Linked DNA regions of Callithrix jacchus. The protein of the gene in region 1 interacts with the protein of each later gene in a pairwise test. Links are inferred from orthologs where the notes say so. Each region holds a gene or a part of one and is shown in the gene's direction. Other genes may lie near its edges.

Region 1 (3,561 bases):
GAGTCAGAGGACTTCTTGTGTGGCCGGCCCTGTGAATGGTGACAAGTGACCCTTACTGAAGGCAGAGTCTCGGGGGAGCACTGGCCTGAATCCTTGAGGGACATTCTCTCTTTAATCCTAACCTCCCTTTGAGGTGTGCACTGACGCAGCTGGGGTCAAAGGGCCAGTTTCTCTGAGCCCTGGAGCGGAGAGAGGGCGAGATGCTCTCATAGCCTTCCCAGCGCCCAGAGCCGGCCAGCTGTGAGATCAACTTGCCACCTTGCTGCCACCTTGCTCTGGGGCCTGGGGCGAGCCATGGCACCACTCTGTGTCTCCCCACCTGTCTCAGATGATAGAGGGCAGGCTTCTGGGTGTCATGAGAACTGTGTGCTGCGCATCCGCAGGGACTCTGGTGCTTTCCAGTCATCTCCCCAGGCCGCCATGCCAGCGGGCTCTGCCTGCCTCCCACTGACTTCTGCCGTGTCTCTTGTTTGAAGCTTGTGCGATCTCTGGCCTCTTCAACTGCATCACCATCCACCCTCTGGACATTGCAGCCGGCGTGTGGATGATGTGAGTAGTGCATGGCTGTCCCACCCCAGGGGTCCTGCGGGTTGGGGGTCTTCGGGGCACCCCGCGGGGTGGAGGAGAGGCAGGGGCTGCAGGAGCTGGTGTCCTTGAGGTTGCCATGGTTACTGGCTCCCACCTGAGCGCCTCAGGGCTCATGGGTTTCTGGCCACAGCATGGGTCTTCTCCTACTTCCTACCCCCACCATGTTCGGTTTCCCAGTGAGAGGTCAGGGTTTGGGGAATGCTCACCCCGGCCTTCATCCAGTGCAGGAGGCCATCCAGTACTCCAGACATTCCTGGAGCACCCACTGAGACTGCAGGTGCCAAATCCACTAAGCTGGGGCCCTTGCCCTCTGGGAGCTCCCAGGATGGGGGTGGGGAAGGCTGTTTGTTGGGGTTGGCTGAGGACTGGGTTGGAGGGTCCACTGGGAGAGGGTGCTCTAGCTCGGGGCTGTGCCAAATATGGGTGGGAGAGGCAGGTCAGAGTGGTCATGGGAACCTGTGGTCAGAACACCATCACGTGCGTTCCATGACCGCCTCCTGCCAGGTGGCACCATCCCATCGGAAGGGAAGGTGCAGTGAGGGCACATGAGAAGTGGCTGTGTACCAAGAATTTATGAGTGTCCTCGTGGGGCTTGGTCTTGAGGGGTACTGAGATGGACGAGATTCAGGTCCCTTCCTCAGTGACCTATGGCTAGTGGAGAGCCTTGGGGGCTTGCTGTTGTGGGGTCACCAATGCCTGTGTTTGCCAGTGGTGGATAGCAATGGGGATGGACAGAGGAGAGGCGCTGGGCCCAGCCTCGGGGTGGCATCAGAGCCTGGCCGAGTTTGCAGTGGTAGGGCTGGCCCAGCACAGAGTGAGTTGATGCTTGGAGGCCTGGTGTGTGGGAGGCTTGGGGCCGGATGCAGTGGTTAAAAGTTGTGAAGAGAGTCTCTGCCCTGGGTTTAGGGTGGCTCTGGGGTGTCCTGAGCTGCATGTCTGTTACACAGGTGTAATGATGGCACATTTCTCCTAGGCTTGGGGACAGACAGAAGGGCCTGGCTCAGTGTCTGGTAACTGACTGTTACCCACACATTGAGAATACCAAGACCACGGCAGACACTCTCTGTCACCAGTGGCTTAGCTGTTCCCACCCCAAACACGGGGCCGGATGCAAGGACTTGTTAAAGTTCTTCCTCCCAGCGTGGGCTTCCCCTGGGTGTCCCTGGGCCTTGGGCTGGTGGCATTGGGTATGTGGGCAGCCCTCCGTGACTGTTTTGAGACTGCCTGGCTCCAGCTCTCTGCCTCCCTGGTGGGGCAGCCTTCCTGATGCTGATGCCACTGATGGATGCTGGTGGCCGTGGCGATGTGAATTAACAGCAGACAGAGCTGCCAGGTGCTCCATCTGTGGGCACCCTGCCTCAGCCTTACAGCAGTGCCATGATGTGGGGTACTCTCCTCCGTCTCACACACAGGAGGATAAAGGGAAGCAAAAGCCCGGGGGCTTCCTCTAGGAGTGTTGAGTTCAGCTGGGGAGATGGGTGTGCAGGAGCAGCTGGGGAGTGCTGGAGTGTTCAGCAGAGGCTCTTTGGTGGGTATAAGCAGGTGCCCTGGAGCAGCCAGGCACCTTCCCAGAGGAGGAGGGATGGGGGCAGGAGGGCGAGGGAGGTGGCATTCATGTGGCACTGGCACTGTGCACCCCCGTCCCCTGGGATTGTCAGTCGATGCTTTTCTCCTGCCCTGCTCCCTGCAGTATGAATGCCTTCATCTTGTTGCTGTGCGAGGCGCCCTTCTGCTGCCAGTTCGTCGAGTTTGCAAACACGGTGGCGGAGAAGGTGGACCGGCTGCGTTCCTGGCAGAAGGCTGTCTTCTACTGCGGGTGAGGGGCTGCTGGGCAGGGTCCTGTGACACAGTTCCCCAAAACCCACTGACAAAATGTGACCCACAGGTCAGGTGAGGGTGGGCAGTGTATGCGTCTCCTCTGTGTAGAAGTGTAAACCCGGACGGCCTTTGTGCAGTGATTGCTGATTGCTGCCAAACCTGCCCCAGTGGTTCTGCACCGGGAACTCAGCTGTCGCTGTGCTGCAGTCACTGGAAGGTGTTTGAGCATGCGTGGCAGCATTCCGTGCAGCTGAGAAAAGGGAAGCGTCTGGAACTTTGGTTCATCCACTGGGTGTTGTTAACCAGATGATAGTAGGTCTGTAGGATGTGTTTCTGAAGAGTGGGCTGATGTAGGTGTCCTGACATGAGAGAGGAGAAGCAGGTTGTAGAGCAGAAAATGTCGTTGCCCTCTAAATGTGCTTGTCAAAGTTTTTCCCATTTCTAACAACGAAATCAATCTGTTATACGTCTCCTCTGAGTGGTACGATGGAACTAATTTCAGGATAAGCGTAATACATGGAAGCTCCTAGAATAACGCCCCTGGTGGACAGGAGGCTGGCGGCAGCAGCATTTATCACTGTCCAGGTTACCTTTCGAAAGAGGTGCAGGTGCAAGCTTGCTTTCCCTTCAGAGAGGCCCAGTAGTTTTGATGGTAAGAGCAGAAGCCTGGTGCTTAGCCCTGGAGCCGTCTTCTGCTCTGTCTAAATCACGAAGAACACAGGATCACAGACCTCAACTTCCGCAGTGTCATGTCCTTCGGAGTTCAAACAACTGTACTTTAAAAATGCTAGCCATACTATAAATTCATTAACTATGATTTGGAAGATGGAACAGTGTTACTTGAAGCCAGCTGCCTCCTACTCTTCTGATGTGTGTGCTTCCTGTCTGCGGGCGTTTTTTAAAAGCCTGCTTTTAACACAGCTATCACCATTATGAATAAGTTTGTATCCTGCTTTTTTCACTTAGTGTAATGATATAAGCATTTTTAACATCACTTTTAATATAGGAATATTCGTTCAGCTGGATGTATCATGGTTTTCTTAATTTCTTAACTGGTATAAATCGAACTGCGATAAGCATCTATCTGCTAAGACTGTTTCTGTGTTTATGATGATTTCCTTAAGATCTGTTTTCAGGTGTGGCATTATCGGGTCA
Region 2 (4,114 bases), on another chromosome or scaffold:
TGAGCCCCTACTTTAGGTGCTAAGTTATTGACAGTCACTTTTGCACCAGTCCTCACTACCACCCTGTGACTGCTTCTCTCTCTCTCTCTCTCTCTCTCTCTCTCTCTCTCTTTTTTTTTTTGAGACAGATTCTCACTCTGTTGCCCAGGCTGGAGTGCAGTGGCATGATCTCAGCTCACTGCAACCTCCACTTCCCGGGTTCAAGCGATTTTTCTGCTTCAGTCTCCTGAGTAGCTGGGAATACGAGTGGGGGGGCACCATGCCCAGCTAGTTTTTGTATTTTTAGTAGACACAGAGTTTCGCCATGTTGGCCAGGCTGGTGTGGAACTCCTGGCCTCAAGTGATCCACCCACTTCACCCTCCCAAAGTGCTGGGATTATAGGTGTGAGCCACTGTGCTCTGTCAGCTTTTCTTTATCTAAAGACTTATTCTCCAGGTTGCTATGGCCACAGGCCCAGAGGAGGGGCCTCAGGCACAGAGGAGGGGTGGTCAACACAGGTCCCTGTCTGGAAAGTGGCTGAGAAGTGTGCAACAGCAGACCCATGGCTGGGCTTATCCTTCTCTCTAATTTATGGCTGAAGCCATGGTTCAGAGAGGTTACTGGGTCACATAGTAAGTTACCAGTGGTTCTCAACTCGGGATGATGGGGCTTCCCAGGGGACATTTGACAATATTTTGAGACATAACTGGAGGTGGGGGGTTCTTGTAACTGGCATCTAACGGGAAGAGGCCAGGCTGTTGCTAAACATTCTACAATGCACAGCTCAGAAGCACAGAATTATCCCACCCCAAAGGCCAATAGCCTACTATTGAGAAACCTTGCTGTAAGATTTGGGGCCAGGTGAAACATGGGTTCCTGCTCCAACTTGGATCCTTACAAACTGAGGAATTTAGGTGGATTTATCTTGTCTCTCGCAGCCTGGATTTTTTTCATCTGTAAAATGGAGATACTAATCTAAACCATCTGGAAGGATCTCACTGGCTTATGACATTTGCATTTCAGGAGTCATGGTTAAAAACTTCCAGCCAGGGGCCAGGAGCCGTGGCTCACGCTTGTAATCCTAACACTTTGGGAGTCTGATGCGGGTGGATCACAAGGTCAGGAGTACGAGACCAACCTGGCCAATATGGTGAAACCCCGTCTCTACCAAAAATACAAAAAAATTAGCTGGGCGTGGTGGGGCATGCCTGTGATCCCAGCTACTTGGGAGTCTGAGGCAGGAGAATTGCTTGAATCCAGGAAGCGGAGGTTGCAGTGAGCCTAGATGGCGCTACTGCACTCCAGCCTGGGTGACAGAGCGAGCCTCCGACTCAAAACAAAAACAAAAAACAAAAGAAAACTTCCAGCCAGGGTGGTGCTTCATCACGTGTGTGTCTTGAGCTCCAGATACGTTCCAGAGCAGCTGGTTTTGGTTATACAGGAGGGGAAACCCTGAGACCCTTCGAAAACTCACTCTCGGCGGCCAGCCGGCCTGTCCTGAAGGTAGTCTGAGCTTTCCTCAAGCCTGGAGTGTGGGAAGGGACAGTTTCCTCATCTGTCAACCTCTCCGGGCTTGTATGTGGAGCGCGCTTTGCACGGGCCTGGGCGCGGGGGCCTTGGCGTGCCTTTACCGGGTCCTTCCGGCCGCGGGCGGGGCGAGCCCAGCGAGGCAGAGCCGAGGGGCGGTGCCCGGGCCGGGCGGCGGAGGCAGGCGGCTGTGGCTTCCTTCCCGGGACGCTCTTTCCTTCCTCCTCTTGCTCCTCCTCCTGCCTCTCTTCGCTCCTCCGCCTTTCTTCGCTCCTCCTGCAAACGCGGTGGGGGCTGCTTGGCCGCCAGGAGCAGGTGAGAGCTGGGAGCTTGGGAGTAGGGGTCCGGGGACCCCGGCTGGCTAGACCCCCCTCGCCGGGCCAGGACAGCGGAGGAGCGCGGGAGCGACGGCGTGAGCGCGCGATCGGGGTCCCACGCCCGAACCCTCTGTCCCGGGGTTAGTGTAAGGGCCGTCTCCTGCCTGTGAGTCACTGGGACCGGGCTGGGAGCGCACGAGGAGACACGACTCCTTCCCACCCCTAAATATACACACAGACTACCACTAGATGAGATTAACTGGTAGCTAGCACCACCACACCCCGAGACTGTGCCCCTTCCTGGGAAACCTGGCAGGGAAGACGTCGAGGCAAACCTCCCTAGGGTTATTGAAAACGGACGCCCTCCTCACCACCCAGCCCCTCTTCTCCACCGAGGTCTTCTTCCCGGTCACTGTAGAGAGGAGATCTGCAAGTATCGAAGGAGGCTTCTCCCCCAAGTTAATAACAAAGTACTCTACTCCCCCCTGAGTTCCCATTACTCAGCCTCTGTGCCTTCTGGGGAGCGGACCCCCTCTCCACCTGCATTTCACTTTCTTCCTCCTCTCCCTGGCTTTTGAAGGCTGAAAAGCTAGGTTCAGATGGCCAGGGGGCGGCCAGGTAAGCTTGAGTCACGCTGCAGCTCCCATCCCCCAACCGGAGATGTGATCCCCTCCTCCCAGTTAGAATGTTCGAGATAGCCGTTTGCCCCTGGAGGTGCGAGGGTGGGAGAGCCGAGAGATTTATTTGGAGACTTGGAAGGGGAGAGGGTTGGCTGGTATTGGCCTGGCCTAGTCCCCCAGTCGTGGAGAGGGCGGGGCACCTCTTGGCCGCGCCGGGTTCCCGCTTTCCCTTCTCGGGAGACAGCTCAGTGCCTGGGGAGGCTCCTCCAAGGAGTGAGTAACCAGCGGGTCTGGGAACTGGTGGCCAGGTAGGGGATTTGAAGGCGATGGCATTCTCCCCACTCATCCCCCGTCGGACTCCGCAGGCCTGTCTGGGTGGCACTTGAGGCTCCCAGGCCAAAGGAGAGTTGGGCCTGTAAGGGGAATTGGGCTTGTTTCTGGATGCTGCAGAAATGAGAGTAGGGGAACTGAGTGCTGGGAACATCCCAAGTTCAAGATGTATGCGGCTGCTTGAAAGAGAGAATGTTAGGTGGGGGGATTAGTCCCCTCCTTAACCTCTCCCTCCAAAGGGTTTCTTGTTTTACAAAAGGGAAGTAGCAGAGGATGTCTAGCTGGGATGATTAAAATGTGTTTTAATTTGCACACTAGACCCTATACATCTTAGTAGTAGATAAAATTATCCCCTGGGCTGGGGTGGCTCACGCCTGTAATCCCAGCACTTTGGGAGGCCGAGGCGGGCAGATCATGAGGTCAAGAGATCAAGACCATCCTGGCCAACATAGTGAAACCCCATCTCCACTAAAATACAAAAATTAGCTGGGCGTCGTGGCCGTGCCTTCAGTCCTAGCTACTCAGGAGGCTGAGGGAGGAGAATCGCTTGAACACGGGAGGCTGAGGTTGCAATGAGCTGAGATCGGGCCACTGCACTCCAGCCTGGCAACAGAGCAAGACTGCATCTCAAAAAAAAAAAAAAAAAAAATACCCCTGTAATGAATGCAATTAGTATGTGGGATATTCAAGATGATAAATGTGAAGATCTCTCAATTAATTTTGGCCATGTGGAGAGAATCTTTTAAACATTTGTACTGTAGGTCAGGAGGTCAGTTTATAGGGAGAAATGGAAAAGATATCTCCGTATCCAGCCAGTTCTGGGAAATATAAAATAAGAATAATTTTTTTTTATATTTGAAAATGAGGGTTAAAAAATATATCTAATTTAACCAACGGCCTTTATTAAAAATAAGTAAAAATTGTGTGAGATTGGGACAGCTCTGGAAATTCCAGGCAATTTAGTTAGAGTATAATTATTGTGGTGAGGTCTGGCTGGGAGTTCTCCTTAGCAAGGACAGACTTACCCAGAAGTAAATAAACTGATGATGTCTGCAAGGATAGAATTGGGAGCCAACCTGTGCAGTAATAAAGAAGACAACAGGCTGCTGTTGTACAAGAAAACTTTCTAGGGAAAATAAAAGGCAATGAGATTCGAAATCATATATTCGGCTTTCTTTCTGTATATTTTCAGCATTTTGTCAAGCTAAAAAATAAACATAAGCTCTCAGAGATAATAGTTAACATTTTGTCATTTTTTTAAAAAAAGTATCATAAACATCTTTTCACATCACTAAAAAGTCACACCATCATTTTAATGACTGAATTTTTCATTAGTTCAT

Evidence for each region. The genes of interacting proteins can lie anywhere in the genome.
Region 2: the proteins of CACFD1 (region 1) and LDAF1 interact in binary tests that used the Homo sapiens proteins (3 or more experiments, as listed by UniProt). The two-hybrid records come from large-scale screens. The link is inferred for Callithrix jacchus from reciprocal best matches to the Homo sapiens genes CACFD1 and LDAF1.

The regions. Positions count from the first base shown.
Region 1 is NC_133502.1:182,067,797-182,071,357, forward strand, and holds part of CACFD1 (calcium channel flower homolog), read left to right. Parts: intron 1-476; coding exon 477-549; intron 550-2,278; coding exon 2,279-2,404; intron 2,405-3,561. UniProt on the Homo sapiens protein: Transmembrane protein which mediates synaptic endocytosis and fitness-based cell culling.
Region 2 is NC_133513.1:22,329,075-22,333,188, forward strand, and holds the start of LDAF1 (lipid droplet assembly factor 1), read left to right. Parts: upstream 1-1,257; 5' UTR 1,258-1,483; intron 1,484-1,766; exon of another isoform or gene 1,767-1,822; intron 1,823-2,515; exon of another isoform or gene 2,516-2,717; intron 2,718-4,114. UniProt on the Homo sapiens protein: Plays an important role in the formation of lipid droplets (LD) which are storage organelles at the center of lipid and energy homeostasis. In association with BSCL2/seipin, defines the sites of LD formation in the endoplasmic reticulum.